4 linked regions of the Oreochromis niloticus genome follow. The protein of the gene in region 2 interacts with the protein of the main gene of each other region in a biochemical or structural test. Links are inferred from orthologs where the notes say so. Each region holds a gene or a part of one and is shown on either strand. Other genes may lie near its edges.

The links.
Region 1: the proteins of patj (region 2) and tanc1b interact in a test that uses a peptide from one of them, tested with the Homo sapiens proteins (2 studies listed by IntAct, with this or other methods). The link is inferred for Oreochromis niloticus from reciprocal best matches to the Homo sapiens genes PATJ and TANC1.
Region 3: the proteins of patj (region 2) and tjp3 form a complex in vitro, tested with the Homo sapiens proteins (2 studies listed by BioGRID and IntAct, with this or other methods). The link is inferred for Oreochromis niloticus from reciprocal best matches to the Homo sapiens genes PATJ and TJP3.
Region 4: the proteins of patj (region 2) and plakophilin-4 interact in a test that uses a peptide from one of them, tested with the Homo sapiens proteins (2 studies listed by IntAct, with this or other methods). The link is inferred for Oreochromis niloticus from reciprocal best matches to the Homo sapiens genes PATJ and PKP4.

What each region holds. Positions count from the first base shown.
Region 1 is NC_031987.2:15,065,713-15,073,391, reverse strand, and holds the start of tanc1b (protein TANC1), read right to left. Parts: upstream 3,021-7,679; 5' UTR 2,845-3,020; intron 1-2,844. Other genes in the region: dap1b (death-associated protein-like 1 homolog), read right to left, coding at 7,134-7,250, 7,366-7,432, 7,571-7,667. UniProt on the Homo sapiens protein: May be a scaffold component in the postsynaptic density.
Region 2 is NC_031986.2:35,734,158-35,741,363, forward strand, and holds the start of patj (inaD-like protein), read left to right. Parts: upstream 1-4,185; 5' UTR 4,186-4,488; coding exon 4,489-4,581; intron 4,582-4,652; coding exon of another isoform or gene 4,653-4,677; intron 4,678-4,807; exon of another isoform or gene 4,808-4,808; coding exon 4,809-4,872; intron 4,873-4,958; coding exon 4,959-5,137; intron 5,138-7,206. Other genes in the region: tm2d1 (TM2 domain-containing protein 1), read right to left, coding at 529-620, 724-832, 1,189-1,262, 2,465-2,598.
Region 3 is NC_031986.2:39,936,109-39,943,002, forward strand, and holds the start of tjp3 (tight junction protein ZO-3), read right to left. Parts: upstream 3,009-6,894; 5' UTR 2,476-3,008; coding exon 2,395-2,475; intron 465-2,394; exon of another isoform or gene 420-464; intron 414-419; exon of another isoform or gene 169-413; coding exon of another isoform or gene 142-168; intron 1-141. UniProt on the Homo sapiens protein: TJP1, TJP2, and TJP3 are closely related scaffolding proteins that link tight junction (TJ) transmembrane proteins such as claudins, junctional adhesion molecules, and occludin to the actin cytoskeleton.
Region 4 is NC_031987.2:14,968,492-14,976,195, reverse strand, and holds the start of plakophilin-4, read right to left. Parts: upstream 3,001-7,704; 5' UTR 2,790-3,000; intron 2,100-2,789; exon of another isoform or gene 2,078-2,099; intron 1-2,077. Other genes in the region: coiled-coil domain-containing protein 148, read left to right, coding at 5,032-5,086, 5,496-5,617. UniProt on the Homo sapiens protein: Plays a role as a regulator of Rho activity during cytokinesis. May play a role in junctional plaques.

The sequences.
Region 1 (7,679 bases), on a different chromosome or scaffold from region 2:
TAAAGTAATCTCTAAAATCAGATATCTGCATATGAAGATGCTGATTCTGAAAGCAAGACACAAGATTATCGCTACAGGAAACATTCTGATTTGCACTGATAGTAAATCTGTGCAATCACATTTCAGAAGGTTTTGGTAGCATGCAAGTAAATCATGTGAGGGAAGAGCTAAAGAGATAATATGTTGCAATTAATCATGACAACGGATGGAGTTTCATGGAGAGTTGTATGTAACACAGTAGCACTCTCAAACTTTTTGCTAATGTAGTTACAAAATACTGCACTCCCGTAAGGCTACACACAAGCTACTGTGCAGTAAGACTTGGTTACCCTTACTCACACCAGATTTTTACACCAAGGCTTTCAGAACCCATCCGGTAGGCTCACATACGGAGTCCTGAACCCTACAAGCCGCTAAAAATCTGGCTTTCCTGTTGGAACCATGGACTGGGTCCTTTCAATAGGACAAAACCATTATCCTTATTATCAGCACCAGCTCAGTGTGTGCTGTCTGTCAGGTCACTGGCTCCAGTAACCTTCCCTCCTCAGCCATAACAATACGACTCTGATGCCAGCATCTGTTATAAGCCAACTGGCTGAGGACCATGGGAACCAGGCTCTGCAGAGAGTGGGAAGCAAACTCTTGAGGGACTTTCAATAAGATGACTGCCCTGCAATTCAAACACCTCATAACAGACAATTGGGGTAGTTCTAGCCTTGGCACAGAGGCATGCAAATCCTCTCTAATGGTTTCATAATCAGCGTAAAATTGCCTGAAATTATGTTGGAAAGTTAATACAGAGCATATTCCCGTTAACTGACCATCAGCATGATTGTCAGCAGCAAAGCCTGTCCCACCTGTTGAGTCTGAAATGGGGGGGGGGAAAAATCAACACTAGAGAGGCAAAGTGCCCTCAGAGCTAAAATGAAACAAGCAGCTGAGTGGAGGAAATAGCAAATGTTGTGGCAGCTTCTTTCAAGGCTGAATGCCTGAAGGCTTTAAGGTTATGAAGATTTTATCGGAGACAGTGATCAGAGAGCATGTTGAATCTATGACTTCACATGCGATCGACGATCAAAGCTTCATCCTGACATTTACAAGCAATTTCCGAGGAGGTGAAAACAAAAACTGGAACTTTGATTTTCAAAGCACCTGGCTTAGTTACAGGAGGATTCCTCCACTGGAAATATGCTGAAAGCAGCAGAACTCATATCCAGCCAGTGGTCAAACTTCAATGACTCAATTTATGTGGGTGGAAAAGATTACAGTCCTTTAGCCTTAGGCCTACAGCTATATCTGGATTTGGTTTTGCTTTCAAAACCACCACATCCAATCAGAAAATACAGAGCATTAGCATCAAACAAGACCACACAGTCATAAGAAAAGTAATGACCTTTCTGGAATCATCTGTGTCCTAATAAGCAGGACAATACAATTATCACCGTTCTTCCCGAGCAAGCTGATAACAGACACTAACCACTATATGAAACTTTCAGACATGCAGTCTAAAAAATAAACACAATCCACTGAACAGTGATATGAGTTGATCTTATCACTGGAAATCTCTATGAATAGAACCCTGAATTCAAGTGTTCCTCCTCCCTCCATCTTTTTTTAATGCCCATGAGCCTTTTCCTCTAAAAGGGGAAAATAACGTTGACTGTGCATAAGATGATGCGCTGTATTTTATTGCTCACAGTCTTTACACAACACACCGATGGCCACATCTGGTCCATAGCTACCCTCACCTCACTTCTTATCGGATTACTGGTGATTAAGTAATTTAGGTCACTTCAATACTGTGTAGCATGCGAATCTGCACCAATTAAATCTTAAATTCCAAATATTTATTTTCATTTCACATTTTATCGACTATACAGAAACTCTGCAATGGTCTTTCTTCACCTTCAATGAATAGTCCAACTCTGAAATGAGTTTTTCCCAGTTATTCTGACACACATATGGGCAGTTGGATGATTTTCCCCAGTGGATGAATTTTATCTGCTGTATCCCATTAATTCTGCAGTCCTTACATCTAGTTTCCCATTCCTTATATATTTGCATGACTGACTTTAAGGATTATTATACCAGGGATCCACCCATATATCAACTGAACACACCATGTGGTGTGGACCAAGGCCATCCCATCCCTGACTCATACTGTATTTCATTCAAAGCCTTAGAATGACACCAGAAAAGTTTAAAATGCTTAGACATGATAAAACCTGCCTGGAAAGTGATGCTTTTCCTACCTTTCTATAATTCTCTTCACACGAAAACAGGAATAAACAACAACTACTACTTACTGAAAACTGTGCTCAGAATTTTGCAATGCAGAGGTTTTTGTAGATGAGGCCATTTTAAAAATTATTGCCATCGACTAATCGATTAAATGGCCACCTCGACGTGTTTATGAAACAAATCTTTTTAATTACTTTGATTAAAGTTACTTCAGTTACTTTAAAGTTGCTTCCTTTGATTTTAACATCCAAATGAATGGAAACTTTACCTGCTAAAAAAAAAAGCGATTTTTTTAACCCACTAACCGAACAACTTCCCTTAAAGTTGACCTAATTTAGCATCTCAGTAACGTAAAGTAAAAGCAGCAGAGAAACCAACTCGAACAAAGAGGCTGGATGTGTGTGTGCAACTGAAAATAAAAATCCCAATGACTGCTGTCAGTCCCGTTGGTTTTGAAGACTGCTCAATGGGCATGTCCCGACATTCCTCCCAACAAACTGCCACTAAAACTCTCACGCTTTAACACTACTTCTCCCAACTGGTGAACAAACTAACAACAACAACGACCACACAAACGATCTGTGAATACGCTTTAAATCTTACCTGATAAATGTCATGGATATTAAAGTCCTAAAAGTTTCACCAGCACTCTGAGCGTATCTCCACACGAGTTCAGTCCCCACTTGCTCCACCAAGGTAGGCTACGGGACGTCGGACTCCTCCTTCTCTCGCATGAGGTCATCTGTGGGAAGGATCAGCAGCGGAGAACAAACCAGATCTACCCCTCCTTCCTCCTCCCTCCTCCTCCGCTTCTTTTCTTCTGCTCTCATGCTGTGTGCATGCCTCATGGACATGACAGGATGCTAGAGATACAAGCTGCAAGCATTTAGTTTAAGGAGTGTGAAATTCTCTAAAACTTCAAATTTTTCTTTTTCTGGATGCTCCCTTCAGAGGTCGCCACAGCGGATCATATGCCTCCATCTCACCCTATCAATTGGGTCCTCTTCTGTCACACCAAACTTTTGCATATCCTCTTTCTCTAGATACACGCTCCTCCTGCCAAGCAGCTCTATCTTCAATATCCTTTGTCTACTATATCCACCATCCCTCCTCTGCACATGCCCAAACCATCTTCTGCCTCTCTAACTTTGTCTTAAAAGTCTTAAAAGCACCTTCTTAGTCAGCTGGATGCAGGTTTTTCCCATCCTTATAAAGAGTACAGTTGCACAATGCCAAAATTAGCACCACTGCCTAACACTGAGGCCCGAGCTCAGTTTAATGATTGGTTGGAGAAACTTGCAGTCTTGGATGGGAGGTGAATCCAGAGGAAGTGAATCAGCTGTCTGTGTTTTCTTCCAGAAGCCTTCTGGGAATATGTAGAAAGAAGAGAACTGAAAATGAAACTTTAAGGTGCTTAAGTGAAATTAAATCGTGTGATGAAGTTGGAAACATAGAGAGGGTAGCGAATGGACCTTGGACTGAGATTAGTTTTCCATACAAAGGTATTTGTGTTCCAAAATCTGCCGAAGCTCTTTCCACATTGCCAGGAATAAATCTGTTGTAGAATATTGAAGAATCCATTATTTATTTAGGTGGACCAAAAGTTGCAGAACCTAAAATGCTGCAATCAAGCCAAAAGTGTCCAGTGAATATCAGCTGAAGCTTGCCTCGCTGTCCACAACATTTTGCTCAATCACTGTTACTGTGTATAGCTATTGTATTCTTACAAGCTACGCTTTAGACATCTTCAGGGTGGTCTTTTCTTTTTCATATAATTGGAAGAAAAGCAATAATAGGATGCTTTGGTCTATGTTGTATACAGTCTTTAACAGTTTCTGACAATTTTATATACTAATATATATATTACTATATTAACATACTTACTTGTTTCAGATCCTAAATTGAGTTTTACTCTGCACTGATAACTGATTGCAGCTATGTGCTACTTTGCAGATGTCGATTTTACATGTGAACATTAAACTGTCTGTAAAATATATGCATGGCCTCATTAATCCTTCCAAGAACATAAAGAGTAACATGGCACCAGATGGACTGGCTGCTGCACCAACACACTGCTTTGCATTAATGCTTTCTGGTCATCCTTTTTCAGCAACAATCTTCACTCTGGGCACATGTAGGCAATTTAAAATCTCCAAACTTTCATAGTCAACTGATAGCTAAATACATTAAATTGCCAGTTGTCTCACTGTTTGCAAACTTAGCAAGTAGGCTGTGTAATTTCCTCCTCGACGATGTGCATTAGAAGGAGGGAAGTTGAAAGATGAGTCAGAGCTTTTATGTAAATGAAGTCTAATTGGTTTAGGTCTGTATTAGTGGCTGCTGAAAGCAGGATGTTGCTCATTAGCTTTGTGCATACTGCTGAATCATAGTTTGACCATAAACCTGTTGACTTTAACATTTTAATGTTACAGCTTGATCGAAATGCTAGTTTTACATATAGTAATAAATATAAAGTATTTCATGAACTACAGCACATGTGTCAAATTAGGTTACTGGATCATTGCAATTAGATCCGGAGTAGGGTTTTCCACATGGTTTGATTCAGTTCGGTGCGGCAAATGAAGTTCGTAGTGCACCTTAGTCTATGGTGACCTCATGAGGTAACATTGGTTTATGCAGCTTGTTCTGAGGGAAAATCTTAATGTCAGTGTAATCTTGCAAAAGTTTTTTTTTTTTAACTCCAATTCTTTATCGTTAACAGCAAGAATATAAAGCGATATGATGATGATTGTTCTACATTGTGCTGAGGTGACAAGAGTCTGCTGTGAAAAAGGCATAATCAGAAATCTTAGTTTTGGTGGAAAACGGAGTCTTACATAAAAAATCTTTACATTGTGATATTTCCTGCATTTTGCACTAAAAAATACTTTGTGTGTATTATTATCCTGCAGTTATGATGATATATTTTGTGAAGGAACATGGACAGTGGCACTCATATTTCTTCCAGTAAAAAAAGAAAGATAAAACACCTATTTTCCGAGTTTGTTTTTTGTTGTTGTTGTTGATGCTCTCGGGTGAAACTGGTTCAGCAACTGAATGAGTGAAAGTCTTCAGTGGTTATGAGTTCACGATTCCCTTGGAAACTGCTGTAATGTGCAGATTCCAATAAGACCTGAAAAATAGACTCAGACTTCATCTGATGCACTGAGCATTTCTTCTCCACTCATCTCGTTGCACTCCCCCTGTGTTTAAACACCACTGCAGCATGTCATTCAAATGTTGTCTTCTCCCCCCGCTAGACTGCGTTTTGTCCCGTCACCCTCCAACCAGTCACGGCAGATGGCTGCCCCTCCATGGGCCTGGTTCTGCTGGAGGTTTCTTCCTGTTTAAAGGGATTTTTTCCTTCCCACCGTCACAAAGTGGGTCACTTGATTGCCGTTTACTCCAGAACATTGTAAGGATTTTGCCTTAGAGGACAAAGCACCAGGTGACTTTTGTGATTTTGCACTATAGAAATAAACCTGCATGGAACTGAAAATATCTAGCAACAAATACATCAATTAAGTCATTTTGGTTTTCTGACATGAATCCACACAAATTTCTGTCATTCTTGTGTGTGCTCAGCATGCAGTACTCTGGCTGAGAGAGATTTCTTTACAGTTTTTATTTTATCCAATCTGTTTCAAACTCCTGTTTGACCATCTGTCTCTTGCAGCTCATCCTGAGGAGCAGAAAGTGGAAAGCAGATTAGTTTGTTTTCTTCAGCTTTCTCTTTCTCTCCATCTACCTTGTGTAACATGGCACCTGCAGTTTGAGTTTACTAGCCTGCATTCAAGAGGCATCCCTGAAAATGATTAAAACTCAGTAGTCACAGCACCTGTCTGGTTCATCTTGCACAGAGGTGACCTGTAGCACAGCCTTGACACTAAAAACAATAACACTTCTGCAATCCCTTTTGACTTTCACTTTCCAGACACGTGGAGGTTTTTCTGGTTTCTGCAATTTATCCAACATATTAAAAGAAAGAAAAATGGTCAAGATATAGATTATGGACAGGCTCTGAATGGAATTGGGGGCAAAACGTTCTAAAGCAAAGATCAGCTCCGTGAATCCTACAAGACCAAGCGAGCTTTTATGGAAGAGTTTTCTTTTTCCTTTCATCCATCTCACTGTTTAACTATGACTCACTGCACACACATATTGGGATAATTAAAATAGTTTGGCTACATAGAGGGTGGACTTGCTGGAACATTACGATATCAAGGTTCAGTCACTACATGAAAGAGGCCAGATGGATAAAAGTAAGCATATATTATAAGTAAAAAGTAAGTAAATAATTATAAATAAGCATATATATTGCATAGATGCACGCATCTTAGAGATTGACTTCATCCATGACCACAGTCTGGTTTATTAAAGTTACAAATGGCCATTTGCTGCCCCCTTGTGGCCATTTTAGAGTGTATGAACAGAAAACAGTTCCAAGAAATAAACAGAGACATAACACAGTGATGGCTTGCAGTCCCCTTTTTTTTAATAAATCTAATACAATTGCCATGCAATACAAAGTGAAGATTCCCCTTAAAAGCACCCCCATATACTTCCCTCAGTAACTTAACCCCTCCCTTCAAACATACTCATACCCACCAAATGGTTTTGTTTTCCAATCAGATGACAAATACAAATATAGAATTCTACTATAATGCCAGAAAAGATGCATTAAGTGCTGGTTTATAGTATTCACATACAAGCATGGCCCCAAAGAGCTTTTTTTTTTTCTTCCTTCTAAGTAAACAAAGCTTGAAAGCTTTCACTCTATCAACACTTTACAGGCAACCTGTCAGTCTCAGTCTCCTCACGTGCCTAACACTTCACATTGGTGTTTAACGGCTGACTAAACATGGTTCCCTCTAGGGCACGCCCGAAGAAGTTCAATACTTCCTCGGCTGCTGGATGAAAACGACCCGAGGGGAGTGCAACTTCTCCACCGCGGGGCGCACCTTACTGTGCCTCACGCTCACAGGTGTTTCTGGGAAGTCGTGGCTCAGCTGCAAAACATCAGGAAGGAGGTTTATTATCCACAATACTTTGAAGCACTGCAAATAACCCAGTTGGCTCGGAAAGGAATTAACTGGCTTTTTTAAGAGTTAACGCTTTGTTTACCTTGTCAAGGGTTCCTGTTAGAAGTATGCCAACTTGTTGCATCCTGTTGGGGGTGGCAAGGGACCTGCTGCACAGGTTTTAAAACAGAGTTATACTCAGCTTTAAAGCAAAGTTAGTGACCTATATGATGGAAATCCTGCTGGGCATTCTTATTTGTTAAATTTGTTTTCAGCTCAAGCACATTTACTGCACAGTGTGAGCATACCTGATTTTATCAGACTTCTTGGTGTCCTTTTCTGGAGTTGCATGGGTGGGATTCTCTTCCATGCCTTTCTTGGCCACCCGTTTACCCCCGGCCTTTACTAGTGATGCAA
Region 2 (7,206 bases):
TTATTTACATGAAGGACCTGAGACTCGTCAGCCTGCAGCTTCCTGCTCTGCTATCGGTTTTGCTCAGATGAAACGCGTTGAAAACATGTCTGCATGAGCTTTCTCAGACTTTTAAACTCCTCCTCCTCTTGTGTCTGGTCTTCCTGCGCTGAGTCAGTGTCTGAGATCATTGTCTGAATGTTACAGTACATAGTATTCACTTTAATAAATACCTGCAGACATGAGAAAGCTGTAAATCTAAAACATGACTCTAAGGTGGTTTTTCCTTTTATTCAATTCTTTAAATTAAACCTGAAAGGCTGAACCTGAGGAATCACTGTCCAAATACTGACAGCTGACAGTACACCTGCTCACCGACAGGTGTCACCTGACTGCACCCCCAACCACCACACACACCTCCATCCACACCTGCTTTACTAAAACTAGATTAAGTGAGAGAGCTGGCCACCCAAACTACAGGCATCAAAATAAAAGCTGCAGGTGTCTGTGTGTGCGTGTGTGTGTGAGAGTGAGTGTGTGAGAGTGTACCCAGAGCAGGATATCCCAGGTAGAAGCGATCTGCTCCGAGCCAGCCCAGAAACAGAGACAATGCCACGGCCACTTTGTAGGAATAACCACTCCTGACAGGAAACACAGAGAGCATCAAACCACCTGAAGCTCACACACACACCAAAATCTATACAGGAGTGTGTGTGTGTCTGTGCTTGCACTGTGAATACTCACACATTCCTGCAGGGGATGGATTTGTTGAAGCCGACCTCGTCCCCGCTAAACCTGAACACCGTCCCGTTGGAGAGCCGACAGCTGATGTTTGGAGCTGGGAGGCACTCCACTGCGCATGCACGCACACGAGCACACACACGAGCACACACACACACACACACATACACTTGTTTAGATGCAGTTATGATTGTATTCACGCCATTGAGCAGCTCTGCATGATTCATGATTCGTAATAATCCTTCTTTATCTGATCCCAGCTTCAGTGCAACCCCTCAGTTCATCCTGTTTGAAAAACTCTTCTCTCTTTATACCCCACCCCCAAAATAAAGCACAGTTTCTCTTGACTGGCTGACCTGTGGAAGCCTGCTGAAGGGCAGCTCTGCAACATCTTCAGGTTTAGAGTCTGCCTGTTTTTTAAGCCACCGCCCACAAACAGAAAAAAATCTAATCTGAAGTGAGACTCACCCCACGCCGTCATGTCCCTGCAGTTCTCTGGCTCCTGAGTGGATTCGTCGATCTTTGGATCATTGCATTTATACGTGAGCAGAGTGAAGGAAGGCAAACACACTTCAGTTGGAAAACATCTGCAGCCTGTTTCTACGTGACACGGCGTAGACTGTGGTTTAGGGGCGGGGAAAAGAAGTCGATACAGCATCGTGTCAAGATACTGTCTGGATACAGGGACCCCAAATATCGATACTTCATTAAATAAATGAAAATACTCTGGAATCCTACAAACAATCTCATGCACGCCATCCTGAGATAACGTTAGCTTCCTCGCATGTACAATTAAATCAGCAGCTGCTTGCCGACTGTACAGCTGTTTTCTCTGTACCTGGTGCTGACTGTGCAGGTGTCCACAGCTTGTAGGTGTTTCACTCACAATGATCACAGGTCATCTGACGGAAAGCAACATTTCTCCAAACACTCTCAGTCTTACTGCGGTCACTCTCAGAGACTGTTGAAGGTTTGCAAATAACTGCTTTATAAATGCAGACTGATTGCCATCATGTTCCCATCAGCTGCTGAACGCAGATGTGATAATTAAACGTGAAATTCTGTCTATGGAGACAGCAACAGATGCATGATTTTCAAATTGTGACAAATCATAGTTGTAATAAACTTTGGTGAATTATCAGAGACGGACTGCATTCAGTTGCAGACTAACTTCATCTTATGGCAACATTTACGGCAGGTTTTAGTGACAGCCTTGGCTTGGTTGACAATAACTGAACTTTATCTTACTGGGTAAAACAGACACTGATAAAGGACACAGAGGTTAAAAATCACAATAACATCGTATCATTAGGTCTGACTGAACGATGAAAACAGCAGAGTGCTGCACTGAGTAAATATTCTGTGTTTATGAAACAAACTGATTCTCCTGATTCGGGTTTCTGAGCTCTCCTGACACAAGTGAACTGTTCGGTCTTCAGACTGAAGTTAAACATCAGATCGTAACTGCAAAGACAACGGAAAGCTTGTCCTCCTTTGAAACTTTAATCTGACCACACTGATCGAAAAATATCGATCAGACTGAAAAACCCTTCAGGTCCCAAACCTGTGAACACACACTGCTTTTCTATGAGAGGTGAAGCCCGCATTAAGCCACGGAACCCCCCAAAACGTCCAAATGTAACGTTTTGATCTGAATGTCACAGAGAAGCTATGGCTAACGTTAGCCGCCCCGTAACCCCGGTAATGAGGCGTTAAAGCGCGGTAAACACGGGCGGAAGGATATTGTCCGAGTCTCAGGTTCTGGCAGTTCTCCGCCTCCTCGCTCAGGACCAGCTGCAGGTGCGAATAAACGCAGTAAAATAAGAGGCTGAGCGCCCCGGAGCGCACACACAGCAGCCGCCTCCGGGAGGACGCCATGATTCCCTCAATCACGTGACAGGGCGGTACCTTCACGGACTTGCAGCATGCTGGGAACTCAGAGTGATGTAGGACCGGGAAGGCTCGGCAAACCATTTATATTTATTATTTTGGTTTTATTTGTATCGTTTTCAAATCTAATCATTTGTAACCATAAGACACATATATAAGTCTTGTTCTTGTTATAAAATCAGCTATTTAAATAAACTTAAATAAAATGCTACCAGGTAAAACAGTTTCAACCTGCTTCATGTGTGTTATTTTCTCGTTTAAGTATGGATATTTTATGTCAGACGTAGAAATAATCTATCTTCTTTATTGTGCTAAAATAATGAATGTGCTTTTAAACAGAATATGGAATTAAAAACAGTTAAACTAATGATAAGAAAACAAAATGATCCTTATATTATGCTTTTGCATTCTTAGATTGAGATTTCCTACAGCCATGAATGCGGCATTAAAGTGACGCTGGTGGCAGACTGGATCCAGTTTATGTGAGTTTCACACCAGTTTGAAACTCTGGGAATCTACGTGTTTTTCTGGCTTAAGTGTCGCTTCGTGTGCGGACTGTTTATCTGTTAGAGTGCGGACCGGAAGCGCAGTTTCTGCCGCAGTTAGCGGCTAATGCTAGCGGAGCGGAGTTCTCGAGTTCTCGGTGAGGAGAAAGAAGAGGAGGAGGAGGAGGAGAAACTCCTTTAACTCTTTACTTTATTCCCCTGATCTGAACTCCGAGGCAGACTTTGTACCTGTGTGCGTTTGTGTGTGTGTGTGTGTGTGTGTGTGAGAGAGAGAGGTGGTTAAAGTGCGGCTTTCACCTGTTGTAAACTTTGACGCACCTGCTCGCGAGCTCTGTGACGCTATGAGGTGAACCAAGGGCCAAAAGTGCAGGTTAAAATATGTACAGGTGAAAATACCGTCTGTCCGCCCCCTCCCCCTCCGCTGCTCAGTTTCACTTCCTGATTTCTCAGGTGAGCTGACAGGTGAGTGCAGCAGACCCCGCTCTGCGTCATGCTGTTTGGTTTCGGTGATGGGGGGTGGACCGTGTGTGTGTGAGGGAGAGAGAGAGAGAGAGACAATAGCTCGGCCTGGCTCGGCTCGGCTCTGATTGAGAAAATATTCCGTGCTGATATCGAAGCTCACCTGCCACACCTGGACACTGCGAGGACGGCCGTGTTAGCACGCAGGTGGGAAGTACCTGAGTACTTTCAGTACCACAGTGAAATAAGGTGTGAAGTAACTCCTTAAGTATGAGGTACAAGTTTTTAGAAAGTAGAATGGTGAAAAGTACGGTGGCCCGGAGGGCACAGTGCACGGCAGGGCGAGAACGTGCAGGTAAGGTCAGAAACGTCACTTTGTGAAATGGAAACCAGTGAACACCGTTAGGTCTGGGATACCATTACCATGGTGACTCAAAGGGACTCTTAAGGTTGCGGTCACGTGACTGCGTGCACCTGCTGTGGTGTGTTCAGGGTGTGGTGCTATGTCACACAATTCTCCGGTGCTCGTGACGGTTTTGGTGTTGATGGTACGTTCTCGGTTTCCGGTTCCGGCTGCCTGTCATAGTTTTCATCTTGTTTTTTCCTGTTTGGTGTCAAATTTCGGTGTTTACAGGCCTGTTTCATAAATCTGCTGTGTGTAGTATTTTCTTCACTCAGTACTGGTTTCTGTGGTTCTTCAGTTTGTAGTATTTGCTGTTTGTAGTATTTGGTGCCTTTTGTGTTTGGAGTTCGTAGTTTGTTATTTTTACCATCTTTACTTTATCGTTTTCAGGGATTTTCAGCATCACTTTGGTTTTTGTCTTTTTGTAGTTGATGGGGTTAGTTACGGTGCCCTCTGGCAGCTGGGATAGGCTCCACCCCCTGTGACCCTGATTTGGATAAGCAGAAAGAAATGAGCCAAAGGTGTTTGGTGGTGTTTCTGATATTATATCTTTGGTGTTCTCAATGTTGGGTCATATTTTGGCCGATTTTGGTGGGAGAAAAGGTGAGTGTGACTCACCTGAGACAGACAGTGCACAGGTGCTGACCTGCATGTTTTCCTGTGACTTCATGCAGTGTTGTTGATGACAGAGAAAGAGCGGTCAGTATGAGTCGTGCTGTGAGGTGTCAGAGCACAGGTAGCTCCACACCTGCTCGTATTTTAGTAGGTGTTTATCAGACTTGGTCCAGAGCTGAAGGAAATAAAGTTGTTCTCGGTTCTTCCTGGTTTAGGTTAGGTCCTCCAGAACAGAGGACGGCGAGAGCACAGCAGAGATGTTTGAAAATGTCCCGACAGGTAAGTCCTGACTATAACTCAAGAGAAACCATCCAATGATTCGCGTTTATCCGAGACCACGTCTCACACGCTGTTTATGTCCTCAGTGTCCTCGACGGAGCGTCAGCAGGTGCTGGCAGCTCTGGAGCGTCTGCAGGCCAAACTGGTGCAGCGGGAGGAGTGGACCCACAGCGATACCCTGGGAAACCTGCGAGAGACGCTGCAGAGCCCGCTCTTTAACCACATCCTGACTCTTCAACACTCTATCAAGCAGCTCCGCAGCCAGGTGAGCCTCACTGAGCATGCTCCGTCCTGCAAAATAGAGTGAATAGGATCGCTCTGATCCCAGCACGGATGTTTAAGGTTTACCGGTACTTCACCTGGACTGCAGGAGGCGCAGCTCAGGTGAAGGAGTTCACACAAAACAAAAGAGCCTTAAATGATGACTTTTATATTAACAGCTATTTCATGGAATATTTCATTCACAAGAATTTTATTGTTTTTATCCACAACCGTGTTTCCCTCACCTCCTTTCTCGTGATATAGATTGATATGGATGCTGTGCACTGTATGAAAGAAACAACCTCGCAACAACAAGATAAGAGAGGTTAGCTAGCAACAGGGAGCTAGCTGCAGCGACACACTTTCTATTTGTCTTCATCCCTTTACTCCACTGAGCCTGACACAGGGCTGCAAACATTACGAACATAAAGGTTTTTCATTTGTACAGTTTCTTTATGACTAACTATCATCTACTGTGATCGCCTGTAGCATTTTTTTTAAAATATCATAGCCTATTTTTTAAATGTATGTTTCGACTGGGTCCACAGTCTGAAAAGTGGACTGTAAGACGGACCCAACACACACACAATGTTTGTGCTCACAGTTCAGCTTTTATTGCCAACTTTCACATGTACAGCTATACAGTCTCTGCTCAGAGTTGGTCTCGGCACGCATGCATTTGCCTCTCACTATAAAAAGAAGAGACTGTGATTACCACCGCTACCACCTGTGGCCTCCCCAGGCACCACCCACTTGAGTTCACTGCGCCGCCCCTCCCCTGCAGCTAGGCCAGGGACCACACTGCCGCCAAAAGGACATTCTCATGTCCAGCAGGGGGCGACTCCTCATTTTGTACAAAGAAGTCTGTGAGAAAATCGGGGAACTATTTCCTGTGGCTGTAGCTCAGGAGGTAGAGCAGGTCATCTGCTGATTGGAAGGTTGGTAGTTCGATTCCTGGCTCCCCTAGTCTGCATGCCTAATATCATTGGGCAAGATCCTAACCCCCACTTGCTCATCAGAATATGAATGTATGTGAGTTAGAAAGCACTCACAAAGCATGTGTGGGTGTGTATGGGTGAATGTGGCGTGTTGTATAAAGCGCTTTGAATACTCCAGGAGAGTAGAAAAGCGCTATATAAGAATCAGTCCATCAGTCCAGTCCATGATGAATTTCAGGGCTGACTGAATCAAACATGAGGTCATTTTGGAGATTTTGGCGCTGTCAGAGTCACAGCAGGAGCAGGAAGTAGACAAGGGCGGGGCTATACTGTGATTGAGAAGTCACCACTTAATGAGTGAGCAGACTCCCTGAATTTTTCAGTCAGTTCATCTTTTATATACAGTCTCTATGTCAGGCAGACGATGCACTGCGAGATAAATCGGTCCTGACAGCTGCTATAGAGCTGGAGATGAGCAGAAGATGTCCAGAAACGCATAAACATTCCTGATTAACCCGGAAAAGAACCTGAGTTCAAGTAAAACTTCAGAAATGGAACAAAAAGCTTTCAGTTAGGTTTACTTCAGTGGGTGTTTCTCATCACATGTTCTCCATCTATCCGTGTGAGTGTTTCCCATCAGATCTGACAGGTGTAGCCCCGCCCAGGTGTTGACAGCCTATCGGGTATCAGTCCTGTGCTGCCTCCCGCCCACCGCTGTGACCCGGGCCGTCGAATCCTCTCTGCATCGCCATCTGTATTCAGCTCGCGCCTGCGCTGACGTGAGCTTTACAATAAACAATCTGCAGGCCAAATTAAGATAATGGCAATAACCCGCGGCGGGCTTCATATTCTAAGTGCTGCGAAGGTCAGAGCGAGTCTATGAATGCGCCGATGGAAGCCAGCGGAGGGTATATGAAGCGGGGACTTCTCCCTTTATTTCTGGCCCTCCCTCCCCAGCGTGCTGCAGATCTATCAGGCTTTAATATCTGGTGTCTCGGTTTGAGTAACGGCCTTGTCGAGGTGGTATTGATGAAATGGCTCGGGATCCTGCTCCGTCAGCCCGGCCTAAATAAGCCGCAGACTGATAAGTTTCCACAATGTGAGTGTAAAGGTCATTAATACATTACCTGTTCAG
Region 3 (6,894 bases), about 4.2 Mb from region 2:
ATTAATCTAAGGGAGCTGATGCACATCACTAATGACTTGTGTCCTTACATTTCTGGAAATCTTTAACAGTTATGCTTTTTCACACTAAAGGGAAGCATAACTAAGTCCATAAATGCTTCGTTTATTTTCATCTGCACTTACCATGTGATCTTTGAACCTGACTTCCATTTCCTACTGGGATTTCACCCTGAACAAAACACCTGCTGCCTCCAGCGCTCAGCAAACAGCCAGCTCTTTATATCCCATATGGAGCCGGCAACAGAAAAACAATCACAGATCCAGTAATCTCAGGTTACTTCTCCCGCCAGTGAGCTCTGCATGGATGGTGGCTGAAACTAGATCCTGGCGCTGAAATAAATTGTAATATGACCAGCTGGGGTGTTTGTCTCACACAAGGCAGAGAGACTGAAAGACCTCACCTGGAAAGCGCTCCTCCCCTCTGAGTCTTTGCCCACTCTGAGAGTCATTCTCTAGTGTCCTTTAATAAACATGGCTTTTAAGGTGGATCTGCTCTGCCTTAAACCCAGCTGAACTAGGGAGAACTGGGAAGCACCTTAAATATGTCAGGTAGTGTAATCACTCCCTTGTGTGTTTGTATAGCTTTGAATATTTAGGCTAAGAACTACAAAGCTCAAAGTTTTGTCATTTCAAGGCAGAAAAATATTATTTAGCGCTAAATAACAGACAGTCACTGCTTGGTCGGGAGTTTTTAAGGGTGTGTTCACATGATTGTTAATATTATTGCACATACAGTAATTAATATCAGTCTGTTATTTCATCTAAAATATCAATTATGGTTAAATAAATTAGACTGAAATTAAGAAAGAGTTTGTTTGCTTTTTATACCTTGGAGCAGTGTCACAAACCACTTCTCGGGGCAGTAAAAATAAATTTCTCTATGTGGGGAAAAACCTTGTTTCAGTAGAAGTTTGCATAAAATATGCAGAGATTTGAATTGCAAAGTTTTAGACATGTCTCCTTCAACACGTCATATCCAGAGATATGACGTGTCTCTCTTCCTATTCTCTTTTTACAAAATAATTATTTTAGATGCTGATGGAAGACTGAGACTAAAATATCTATATACTACTGCAGGGTGTAGGCTTCGTTTCAATATCAAAAGAGGTTAAGAGGTTTAAACTAACTATAAGAAAAGGTCTCAGCACAATCAGTTCAAGGAAAAAAAATATGCCTCTAAAAGCTACTTGTGGTCAGGCGTTCCAATTAAGACATGAAATTGTAAATGTGTGTTACAAAAAGGACTCCTCCTCATAAATAAAAATAAACAATGACATGAGAAGTATGTTCTGTCAGTTATGGCTTTATCACAGCAACTTCCACAGGGCTGTATGGGAAGAATCATAGATTCGTATGATATGATGATGGCTATCTACATAACCGTCTCCATGTTAATCTGTCCACAATAAAACAGGAAGAAATTTAAGGAGGTCCCTTAGGAGTACGCTTCCTGAGAAGATCATACCAAGAGCATGACGCGTACTTCTGAAAGAGGCGAAAGAGAGCGCAACGATAAAAGCACATCAGAACCAATGTTCATTTTGTCGACTACAAGAAAAGCCCTAATAAAGAGCAGCTTTGGAGGAAGGATGGATGTCCACAACACTTCTGTGACAGAGGAGGAAAATCCACAGGTATCTTTAGAGAAAGTTTTGTTGTTTTTGTGCGCTGCCTGTTATTTTTTTTCCTCCAAACTGTGAAGCGTAACAGAAGGAGCCTCAGGCTTCAGGGCCTTCTTTTTATACCTTCGGGTGTGGGCTCGGTGAAGGAGCAAAGAATTGTGTCACAAGGAAATCAGCGACAGAGGGATTGAAATAGAAGAAAAACAATGCTTCAATGTTCAGAATCTTTGACCTTAGTGAGATGACCTAACGAGGCCTGTTCTATAAATATATCCCAGATTCTTTGAAGTGAAAATGAATTCCTTCTTACACCGAACTGTGGAAAAAGCTTGCTATGGAGCACGCGTAGATAAACAAAGGTTTTACAAGTCACTAAGTTAACAAGCTCACCTACTTTTTGCCAAGTTGAACTGTCACTGAGTCAGTGTGTTCAATAAAGAATACATTTTCCACAACTTTGACACATTTGATGAACAAGACATGAAGAAATTCTGCTGATTTAAAACACTTCACAAACCTTTTCTTTAACTGTAAATCGAAACCTTTCAACTAACTGTTCAACAAAAATAAAGAAATATAAATAAAGTTCTGTGGATTCAAATAAAGGATGATATTTAACAGAGTGTGGGGGGGGGGGGGGGGGAAGTAACCTGTGAAGTTCTCTTAAAGCTGACGTTAATATAATGCTGCTTGGTTACTGTAATAGGAAAAAGGAAGTACAGACAAATAAAATAACTACTATCCATTCACTTACGGGCACCACCAGCAGCGGCGGAGGCTCCGGAGGCACAGAGCCCAAGTGCTTCAGTCGTTTGAGTCGCTCTGTCAACTTCATAATGATAACAGTGCTGACCCACTCATTCACAGACACCAAAAATCTCCAGCTGTCTGCAAATCTGTTAATAATCCCGTGTCTGTGTCTCAGTCACACATGGTCACTGATGCAGGTCTGCAAGCCTCTTCACGAAAAACACAAATTTGCCATAAAAAAAAAGAAAACTATGAAAAACAGAAGTTTAAAAATTAAAAGTAAATAAAAGTAGCAACTGTCATCCCTCTGCTTCCAATGGAGAAGTCATGCGAAGAGCGCTCCATAGGTCCGTGTGCCCAATAGTTCCCTTTGTGACAGGCTCATAAAGTCAAACAGGTCCACTTGCTCCCGCTGTCAGTGGTATGTGTGCGTCTTACTTTCCCACAAGGCAGGAGCAGATCCCAGGCTGCTGGCTGAGTTTCTGTCTGCTCGGTGCCATGGTTACGTGGGAAGAATGAGAGCACTGGCCTGTTAATAATTGACGGGGTGTTTGCTACACTATGGATCTTCCAGCTTCGGGTAAGTGTCCTGATGTGCCTACACAGGCTGTGTCCCGGGATCAGGAAATGGCAACAGAGAGCCCGATGTTATCTCTGTTCCATGGTTAACATTTACATATGCCCCACAGCATGGGCGTGTTGCAGCCTTTTTTTTCCCCTTTTTTAGTGTTCAGTGTGACATGTACCCAAATCATTGAGGAGGACGGGGGACAAAGAGGAGGTGAAGCTACATGCTTGAAGAAAACACTATCCAACAGCTTATTACTTCCTAAATCCCTCATCCACAGATCAGTGTCTGTATTATAAAACTTGAGAAACAAAACAGATGTTAGATGCCAACTTGGGTTCAGCCAGGTGGAAGAGCCAGCCTGAGGTCAGCGAGAGCACCAGGTGTGAATTATTAATTGATCTTAATAAACAGACTTCTACGGTTGCTAAAAAAACAAACAGGTAGCAAAGGTAAAACCATTCATAGTAGGTAAATATTCACTCATTCACGCCGAGGACTGCAGTGTGCTCGGCAGCAGGATACTCTGTTTGTTTTGCTTTCATAGAGAGGCCACTCCTGTTGGCTATTCAATATGCAAACTGCTGACTATCGACTCCAGGTCACCTTGTTGCGCTTGAGTTTCACTATGAATGGAGAGGCCTGCTTTAAGTGTTGAGCATAACTAAAATACTTCAACGGTGCATCATCGAAACAAACTAACAAACGCCAACCGACGGAGCCAAGAAGGCTCCAGTATACGAGTTCGGTGGGGAATGTGGAAAAGCAAAGCCTCCTTGTGTAAATATAGAGCTTTGTGGAACAAATACTCCAGAGGTTTACACAATCAGCAAAGAGGCTGTAATTACACAGGCCAGGGCTTTGTGGCTTCCACACTCAGTGGACTTACTTGTGTTGTCTTGTGTGCTAAGTGCTGCAAACACCCACTTTACAGCTATCCCAGCGCCATAACATGAGTTATACCACACGTGCTCAGCCCCTTATGCATGAGGATGCAAATGGTCACACGTGTATGGTGGATGGTTGCTCCATCACGGCAAAAACTATTGAGGTCATGATTATTTAACGAACACGTCCATTGCAGTTTCCTCGAACCAAACTCAAGGTGAATAAGTGGTTTAGAAAAAAAGAAAGAAGAAGAGGGCTGTGCTGCTTGATTTTATCATGGAAGCCAAAATTGGAAAGAAAAAGGAAGTTCCTTTAGTTAAAGACGGAAAAATGAAGTGTGAAATGTGAGCAATGCTGGTGGTGTCACTGGAATTATATGCACGACTGCTAAAGTCCTGCACTGCTGGACGGCGGTGGAGATGACGATGTGGGATGTTGCATAATACCTCACACGTTAAGTAAGATATGCTACGAGAGGTATTTTCTCTTTAACCTTCAAGTCAAGACTGAGCAGCGTCACTTGTGACCCCAGCTGTATTTAAATATAGAGTCATTTAGAACTGGAATTATACAGTATGCCATCTTAAAAAAAAATATTAGGATTTAAACATGTTGATTTTAGTGATATTTGCTAGCAATTAGATTCAAGATTCAAAGACTCCCAGATTTTTTGTACATGTCATACCGACAAAGAGAAAGACAGTGTCTCTCTCACCTTAATATAAAAATATATAAGAAATATAAATATAAAATGTATATAAAAATTAAATCTATGGACAAGAGTGGCAACGGTGCAGGATGTAAATTATTCCAACTCATTGTAAAAGTGCAAAATATCAGATATTTCAGAGCTAGATATTTGAACCCTTTCTACACAAAACACACTTTACATATTACACATATACAAATAAAATGCTACTTTAGGTTTTATTTTAACCAGAAGCAAAACAAAACCTGACTGTTTAATTAAATTTTTATTATAAGTGCTATGCCACAACAGCAGTCACTTCAAGATGCTTTATATTGTGAAGTAAAGATCAGACAACAACCTATAAGCAAGCACTTGATGACAGCGGGAAGGAAAAATTCATCTTTAACAGGAAGAAATCTCCTGAGAAAGAAAAAGGAGTGAAAAAGGAGAATAGAGAGAGGCGAGGACAAACAGCCTATGGGAGAGAAGACAAAGGTAACGACATGCAGTAGCAGCATATAAACACATGGGCAGTGAGAGGTGAGTGGAGAAGAAATGTAGCCTAAGGAGCATGACCAAGGGATGGTTCAGGGTCAGCTCATGATAAGGGTTCTCAAAAAGCAACATTTACAAAAGTAGAGAAGGTATCTGTCTCCCGGATCCAAACTGGAGACTGGCCTGAAAGCTGAAGGCTCCGCCTCCAATTCTAATTTTGGAAATTCTAGGAATCCCAAGCAAGTCAGCAGTTTGAGAGTAAAGTGGGGAGGATATGATACTACTACTTTTTTTTTTTTTTTTTAAATAAGGAGAAGAATTTTGAATTTAAATTCTAGATTTTATAGGCAGCCAGAGAAGAGAAACCAAGGAACTGAGATATATGACCTCTAGTTCGATTCTTTGTTGGATATTATAATATCTTTATAATAATAATTGTTGTTAAAGTCACCCAGCTTATCTCGAATCCAACCTTTAGTTTTTATTTGCATTTTGTTCTGTCGTATGAAAGAAAAAAGTTTTGGTTTGTAAGAAATGTAATATTTCTTGTACACACGTTGCACAAGTTTAGAAAATGGGTAATAGATAAAGCAAACCATATACGTCTGATAAACTCAATCAGTACCACAAAGTACCCTGTATTTTTCAAAGAGCTGGGAACTGGACACATTTACAGCTGTCCTTAGAGTGAGCAACTTTTTGACAAAGTATGAAACCCTGTTTAAATGATGACTGCAAAAAAGTTAATACTACAGCAGTGAAAATAGATGGGAGGAAGAGCAAACACTATCACATCTGGAGAGACTGAGACTTCTTAACTATAACAAACTCCATATATCTGATATATCTGGGATAATGTACCAGCACTTTCTCAATGGGAAAAACAAGTATGCAGTGTGTGTTTTGCTCTTTTAATGTTGTATCAGGGATTTTGTGGCCATTGTTGTCAGATGCGTGTGGGCGTTTCTCGGTTTAAAAGTAGTGTGATCATAAATGACCACACTCTGCTATTTTAGCTGGTAAAATCTACATTGCTTGAGGGTTAATATCTTTAAGTGTACACGTCCACATTCTGGGAAATGGACGCCACACATGTATTTATTTTACTGGAATAAACCAGCAGGCTAAACTTTTTCCCCTTTTATTTGAATTGAACTAAGCTACAGCTGCGATGACAGAAACCTTCAGCACATCTAAACATTAAAACCTGGATTAACTTTTAAAAATCCAGAAAGGACGAGTCACAATCTTAAAAGCACCTCATGTGCAGTAGGGAACTTAGGAGAACAGCAGTCTTAATCGACAGTGTTAGTCCCAAATCAAACAATGAGTGTGTAAATATGCCGACTGTGGAGAGGAGGACGCAGCAGGTTGGGAATGCAGTCGAAACTATTGTGAAACTCCAGTTCCGGACAGGTAGAAACTTGTATGTGTTGCCGAACCAGTAAGGTGAGGAATAAAAAGTGGAGTTTACAGCTGACAGTCAGCATCCCAGCAATACAGACAAGCACACAAATAAAGGCAAGCACGTTAAACTGTGAGGGAACTCCAACAAAAACACACAAAATGACTAAGGAGAAAACCACAACTGTCACACAGGCCTGTGAGGACTGCAGTCAAGCAGCGACAAAGCTTTCAGTCCGGTAAACATCCAACTAACTTCACCTAAAGTGAGAAAAACCACAGAAAAAAACTTCTTTGACTCAGTGTTATGTCACACATGATCCTTCAGCTTCACCTTTCACTCCAGAGGCTGAGTTGAGATGGTTTGATTACCTGTGCAGGAGGAAGGAAACACCGACAGAAACGACGCTAACTCACCTGTAAACGTGCTCTTCGTAGCTTCAAGGCTTCTTCCTTCA
Region 4 (7,704 bases), on a different chromosome or scaffold from region 2:
TGGCGTCAACGTGTTAACGAGCTAACCACGCTAACGCCATGCAGCCCAGAGGGGCTGCACAGCCTAAAATCCTTTCATTCTCTCAAAAGTTGACAGCGCGCCTTTTGTATGAATTCTGGTTGTGCTTGATGACCGAACCGATTTTATGTGATACACAGCGCTCAGCAATCTGTCAAAAAATGTTTTGGTACGACTTTGGTAAGCTACGGAGCTGCACCTCTTGATGGATTGTCGGAGCATTACGGCTACCAAGGAGCCTCGCGGAGTAATACGTACTGTGCTTCAAGGTAATATTACCGTATTGTGTGTGTATAAGGACCATAAATGGCACCTGTTAAGAGACGTGGTTATGCAGCTGATTTCAAACTCCAGGCTGTCAGTTACGCAGCAGAAGTTGGGAACAGAGCAGCTGTGAAATCTGTCTATGTTATTATGCTCAGCGTCTTTTAGTTTACATTCTGACTGCACAATTGTGAGCTTTTTGTTATGCACAAAAACAACATTGTTTTGGTTTATTTATGGAGCATTATTATTTAATAAATGCTCATAATTTATTTTTGAGTAGTTTTTTTCATGTACATCTATGCTGTATGTTAATAAAAGTGCCTGTGTGACATCTGGGACACAGCTTTGACTAAGAACTCTCTTTTTGTTCTTACTTTATGGCTTTAAAAAAATATCGAGATATATATCTTATATCGCCATCCAGCTAAAAAATATCGAGATATGAATTTTGGGTCATATCGCCCAGCCCTACCTGCCATGTGAGAAAACTGCTCTGGTAAGTTTTAATTCTACACCCATAGCCAGTGATGGTGCTAGTGAATTACAACTACTTCCACAAGTCATCTGTGAGGGTACATTTTAACCACTTGTGCAATTCAGAGCTGGGGGGAGAGCTGGAGCCAATGCCAGCTGTCGTAGGTTGAGAAGTGGGGTAGACCACGGACAGGTCACCAGTCCATCACAGGGCTAACACACAGAGACAGGCAATTTAGAACCTCCCATTAACCTAATGTCCATGTTTTGGACTGTGGACGCAGGTACTTTTAAAAGCAAGCTATGACAATTAAGAACAATAAAAAATAAAAAATATACATATAAAAGTAAATGTTTTTTCTTTTTTTCCCTTTACTATTCATCTTCTTCACAGACTCTCTATAATCCTTATCATTTCTTAGTGCAGCCACTATTTGCCGTTTCACATTAGAATCACTCATTTCTCTTTTTACTAATGTGTGGCACATCCCAGCTTGAGTATTTTGACCTTGGTGAATTGGGACAAAAGCTTCATTTTAAAGATTCTGGGAATCCAGAGTTTCCCGCCTTCAACTCTAAAACCTTTTGTCTGCTTACATTTACACCTACACGGTTTCACCCCCACCTCTGTGGGTCTGCACTCACTGGTTTCCCTCTCCTTTTTTCATTTTGTGTACAGACAGACAGACAGACACACACACACACACACCTGTAGCTTATATATTCTCATGCACTTCTTAAGTGTTTATACTTGATGCTTGTGTCTGTTATGCTTGTATAGTATTGGCTACAGATTTCCTTTTTAATAACAAAGTAATCACTTCATGATGTGATTTCTTTGGAAATAGAAACCTAGAGCTTATATAATTACGATTATATTTGATCGCTGCCAATTTTTTATTTTTCATTTTGTCATCTTAATTATAAATTATATCCCGAGTCATTTGTTTCACTGACATTGTGATTTTATGAGACTGTTGTGAATATGGTGGTTTTCCTACATGGTTTTTCCCCTATGAATTAATGCTACTGATAAAGAAGACAAATATAAGCCGTTAAAAACTAATACAAAGAGTTGTTTTTGACAAGAACACTTTGCACTTTAAAGTGTTTTTGTAACACCTAAAGATACACTTTGCAGTAGAGGCACATTTGTAACAGTACCTGAGTATTCCTTCTACCACTGCCCATATGATACTCTGAAGAGCAAGCACTCAGTTTGTAACCAGTAAAAAGCCTTCAAAGACAGCAGTTTGGTGAGGTTCGCATGAACAAGGTGGCCTGGAAAGGACTCAAATCCCCGGTCTGAATTACTGTTTCAGTCTACCCCTGCCACAAAGGTAGGTTGTTCTTGCACGGTGCAAAACGATGACAACGTAGAGTCACGGTTACCGTTAAAAAGGAAACGACCCTCTTAAAATGCAAAATAGAGTCATTAAATATGGCGTAGTTTGAACCTAGCTAGTTCAACCTGAGGGTAAAAGGTAAGCCAATCTAATAGGAGCAGAGTTTGGATCTACGCCCCTGGGCGACCTCGCATTCCAGAGATTCCCACACTCTAAGCTCACCTGCCTTTTCCTGCACTACTTAGCAACACGTTTTCAAGGGCATTGCCACAGTAAAGTGAGTTTTTCTACAAGAGGAAAACTAACCCCGGAGCAGTTTCCGTGCATTTACATTAGCCGGCCAAGTTTTCACCCCCACGGTTAGGCATGGCATCAAAAACAGCGCGTGAAGGTCCCTCAAAGGTGTGCGTTGTTTGCGATGATTCGGTCACAAGAAACAGATTAGGGTAGTATTAGATTCTTCCCCGCTGAGAGGAAGCCAAAAGAAGCTTGTCTTATGCCGCATGCACAGACGGAAAAAAGAGAAAGAAAAAAAGCAACCACTCTCTTTTCACTTTCCGACTTCAAGTAAGCAGCCCATACCCTCCTGCCTGCTCTGCGCACAGATGCTCTCGTTTCTCCCTGCGTATTCACTCCAATTATTTAGCAGTTTGCAAAGAAAAGAAAAGAGAAACATTTCCATACCTTGGGAGGATTGTAGTTGCGCTGGCTGAGCTGCGGCTTGGATCTACATTGGAATGTGTAACTTCATCTGTAAAGTCCTGCCTTTTAGTCCCATGCATGTGGAAGAATGAAACTCGCGTCCACACTCGAGTGAAGAAGACGACCCCTCGGCTGCTCCTCGCTTCCAACAGCAGTCCCAGGCAATGCGAGCGTGCATGACGTCAGCGGGAATGTGGGAAACCGATGTGCACTCCTGATTGGTTTCAAAGCGAATACGGGGGCGTTCCTGAAGAGGTACGCGTTGTTAAATTAACCAATGACTGAGAAGATGATAGTTACCTTGGTTACCTGTTTTGTCAACCCATACACTGTAGAAGGGAGAGAACAAGGTAAGCTAGGTGGCTCGTCGGGTATAAATACTTAGTTTACAACGCAAATAATCGCTAATTGTTGTGTGTAACTTTATTGTAGGTATAGTTTGAGCTTGGTCTTGTAGGAAACCTTTGGTTCACTTGGTTTTGGTTTTTTTTTGTAAGGTTGAGCATAGGTTCTACACAAGTACTGTCGCTAAACTATAGCAGTAGCAGCTGTGACAATGATAAAGTTAAGTGTTTTCTAGTTTAATTAAGGACTATAATAATTGGTAAAAATCGGTAAAGTAAATTAACAGAGCTTGGCTTGGAAAATATTTTAGGCTAGTTGTATGTCCATAGTTTTAACAGCAAAAAAATGACAACCTAATGATTTTTTAAAAATATTTCTTTTGTACATTTAACCCATGTGCCACCTTTTCGCCACTGGTGTTATCTTACTCCTTATGCAAATTTTGGGGGCTTCTATTAATTATTATTTAGAATAATGCTATGTGATGCAAAAATCATAAGATAATATTTTATTATTTCAAAGCGTTTGTTCAAAGCGTCAATGTATGATATTTGCAAAGTCATTTATTAGCAATAAAATCAAATGAAAGCATATAAAGAACACTTAAAATGAGTGACAATGCCATTCTTTATATCTTAACCTGTACCTGTACCGAATTTCAGTGGATGTAAAATTATTATCTCGGAGGTCTAGTGTTACCCATAAGGAAGGTAACAGCAGTGACAGTTTTCATGGAAAATGCTTTTTACAAAATAGATGCTGCAAGCATCAAACCACATGATGTCAGTCATCTTGTACTCACCAGATTATGTCATTTAATCCATTTATATTCTGTTGTTTTGGGTTTTGTTTTTTTTAACAATTTCCTAACTGTTTTGTATTAGTGACTTCAACTAAAAGCTTATTATGAAATTACGAGATAAAACAGAAAAAAATCTGATAAATGAAAAGAGACACTGGTCTCATCATGACCATTTCTTTATAGTGCTTCAGGAAATCTGTGAAAGTAAGTCAAGTGATGTCATTATTGGGATGTTTTGTTTCAAAATAATAAACTTTTCTCATAACACCAGTGACACAGTTTTAAGGGACCATGACTTTCTTTATATATCTTATAATATTTATTTCACATTTTGCTTCATTGTGTCACAGTCATCATATTTTTAACATATCTGATTGATTTGATGCATTTTAAATATAACAAAAAAAACACAGCCTTTACCCACCATACTCGACTGTGGGGACAAACGCGGTGGTGGTGCCTATTCTAATTGTAATATTGTGAAATTAAAGAATGAGGAAGGAAAAATTATTCAAATTTAACATAGAAATAAATTGTAAATAAAGTGGTTTTTAAGTGTAGTAAAAGCCAGGGACAGAAAAATTGACATTTCTAGAATGACCTATGTCTTGAATCCTAACCTTGGCTTGCCATTTGGTGTTGAAATGGAAAAAGTAATAATTTTGCTGTCCTTAAAATCGGTATTTAAGTCTATATGTAATGGAGACATGGGCAAAAAATAGACAAGGATTCAGAACAGCGCATCTGTTTTCCCTCCAATCATAGAAAAATTAATTCCTGCATAGTTCATCCCATCTCTTCACACACCATGCATTTGAAAGGAGAGGAATCCTGTGCGAAAATCTTTCCAAGCTTAATCCAAAACAAAGGCAAAAAGGAAAAAAAAAACATTCCAGCAGTATATCACACACACACTGGCTCCAGTACACTAAAACTTGTTGATGTTAACTAGCATTTTAAACAATGTCACACCAAACTTTTTTTGTAGGCAACAAAGCTGTGCATGTGTGTGCAGCGCAATAATTAATGTCTTTATTTTGAAGGTACTCTGGTGCATGAAGATAAAGCTCAATAGTGATGAGTGGAAAGGATCTACAAACATTCATAACAAGCATTAAAGCAGAAGATGTTGGTAAGTGAGTGAAAAATGGCTGGAATATTCTGGCTTCTGACATAGTGGTCTACTCAACTGTTGAACCGGTTTGACCTGAAGCCCTCATGTCGAATTCTCCAGGTGCCTTTCAAGTCTGTTGTTTTTGTCACAGGCACAGCTTGTGTTTATCCACCTGCTTCCTTGAGTCAAGCCGAAGCACTGAAAAAAAACGTCTGACACAGTTTGTCTCTGCTATCCCCCTCCTCCTGTGCAATCATTTCTTTATTACGCATACAATCCATTAGAGCTTAACTGGTGTTGCTCCTCTGTCTAACCTTTTTTTGCTGAAGTCAGCATAAAGTCTTTACTTCAGACATTAAAAGTGATGAGATTTTCAAGAATTCCAGTGATCCTAATTCATCCATATCATCTGTTTTCATCCATGCAGAAAAACTGACAGTGCGAATGAAAAATGGTCTTGGCAGCTCAAAGTACAAGCCGGCAGAATATAAAAGACTACTAGCGATTGTTGATGCCAAACGCGAGGAGACTGATCTAATTGGACAAAAGGTAACCTTTTGTTTGCACTGTCATCCCTGTGCTAATAAAAAAGCTGTGTTTTCCTAAAATAAAGTCCTGTTGCATTTAATAACACGTTGATTCAGCAGCAAATAAAGGAGTATGTGCAATAAAACCACTCATTATACATCAAAGGAAGTGTTAACTAAACAGCATGTCCTCAGTAGTAGTAAAAAGTGCAATATCTGTGTGCGTGTGTGTGTGTGTGTTTACCTTTTTCCACTCTTTCATATATGCCACACGCTGTAAAAGGATTTCATTTAGCATAAAATAGACATTGCATAATTCTTGTAGTTTGTCCAACAACATGAAAGAGAGCAGTAATATCACTGCCATACAGAATGGCATTTCTGTGAATATTCATTTGGCTTCCTGTGGGTTTTCCCACCACACTGTTTGAAGTTCATAGTCATATGATTCTGAGCTGATCAAAAAGTTAATGCTAGGGGCACTGGAGATTAGACCTGTGTTGTTTTAATTAGTAAATTGTGTCAGAAGCCTTCTAGCATCATCGTGGTAGCCCATGGCTTCTTCCAACCCTGCGCTCTGGATAACCTAGATAAGAGAGGCTATGTTCATATTGGCCCTCCTGAAAAAGCAGGCTTTTTGAACATCTCATATTGGTGATGTGATAGGGGTAAATAAATTACCATGAGTAGCCTCAAGCATGGGATCATTTTTGCTTTCTATAAATGGACTGGCAGCATTAGTAGACAGTAAACACTTGGTAGCTCTATACTACACTCTGTGCACTGTGTTACCCAATATACAGATATGTGTGTATGTAAACACTGAAAAAAGGAGTGGGAAACATATTTTTTTCAATACTGTTTTGATTACAGGTAGACATCCAACAAATGGGCATAATATTGCTACATTTTCCCTACTGATTCACCTATATTAATGTTTATGTGTTTTTGCTGAAAGACATTGACTTTATTATAAGAAAATGCATAACTGAAATATACCATGTCTCCAATATTGTGGGAGAATCCCCTGTGTGTGATTGCAAAATTATTGATCCTTTACTCATGTATGACATTTCAGAGATGATTTGTATTTCAAAATGTATTAAAAAGAGCAATAAAGAATGAAAAAATGCATAAGGAAAGGGTATATCAGAGGGCCTGCTCAGGATGGAGCTGATTTGGAGACAAAGTAAAAGAGGCAAGGTTGAGATGGTTTGGCCATGGGTAGAAGAGTGATAGTGCATGTATTAGGAAAAAGATGTTTAATATTAACTGCTAAGCTAAAGGAGAAAAGGAAGACTAAAACGAAGGTTAGTGGATGTAGTGAGAAAGGACATGCAGATAATTGGTGTGATGCAGAGGATAGGGTGGCAACACCTGAAGGGAGGAGCTGAAAAAAGAACGAGACATGGCTTGTAAATACATGTGGTTTAAGTTTAAAACCTTCAAAAAGAAAAAGATGACTTTTTACTCATTACGTATGAAAGGAAATTAAATGTACTCATACAACTATTTTTACATTGTTCACGTGGATGTCTACGAGCTGAATATACAAACCCTATTATAGAGAATTTGAGACGCTGTGTAAAATATAAATAAAAACAGAATGGAATGATTTACAAATCACATAAAACTATATTTTTTAATAACAGAAGATAGAAAATATGACATTTTAGTATTTCATGAAAAATATTAGGTTACTTGGCAACGGGTCAGTAACAGGTCAGAGAGTATAAAAAGAGATCTTAGAGAGGCAAAGTCTCTCAGACGTAAAGATAGGTTAAGGTTCACCAATCTGGAAAAAAATTGTGTCTACTAATTGTGGAAAAATTCCATAAAATTGCAAAGATTTTAAACAGCTTGTCATCTACAGTACATAGTATCACCAAAAGATTCAGAGGATGTGAAGAAATCTCTGTACACAAGTGACTAGGTTGAAGATTAATACTGGATGCCTGTGACATGCAGCACTGCATTAAAAACGGGCATGATTCTACCATGGAAATCACTGCATGGGCAAAGAAATACTTCCAGAAATCACTGCCTGTTAATGCAGTTCAGCATGTCATCCACAAAGACACGTTAAAACTCTATGATGCACAGAAGAAG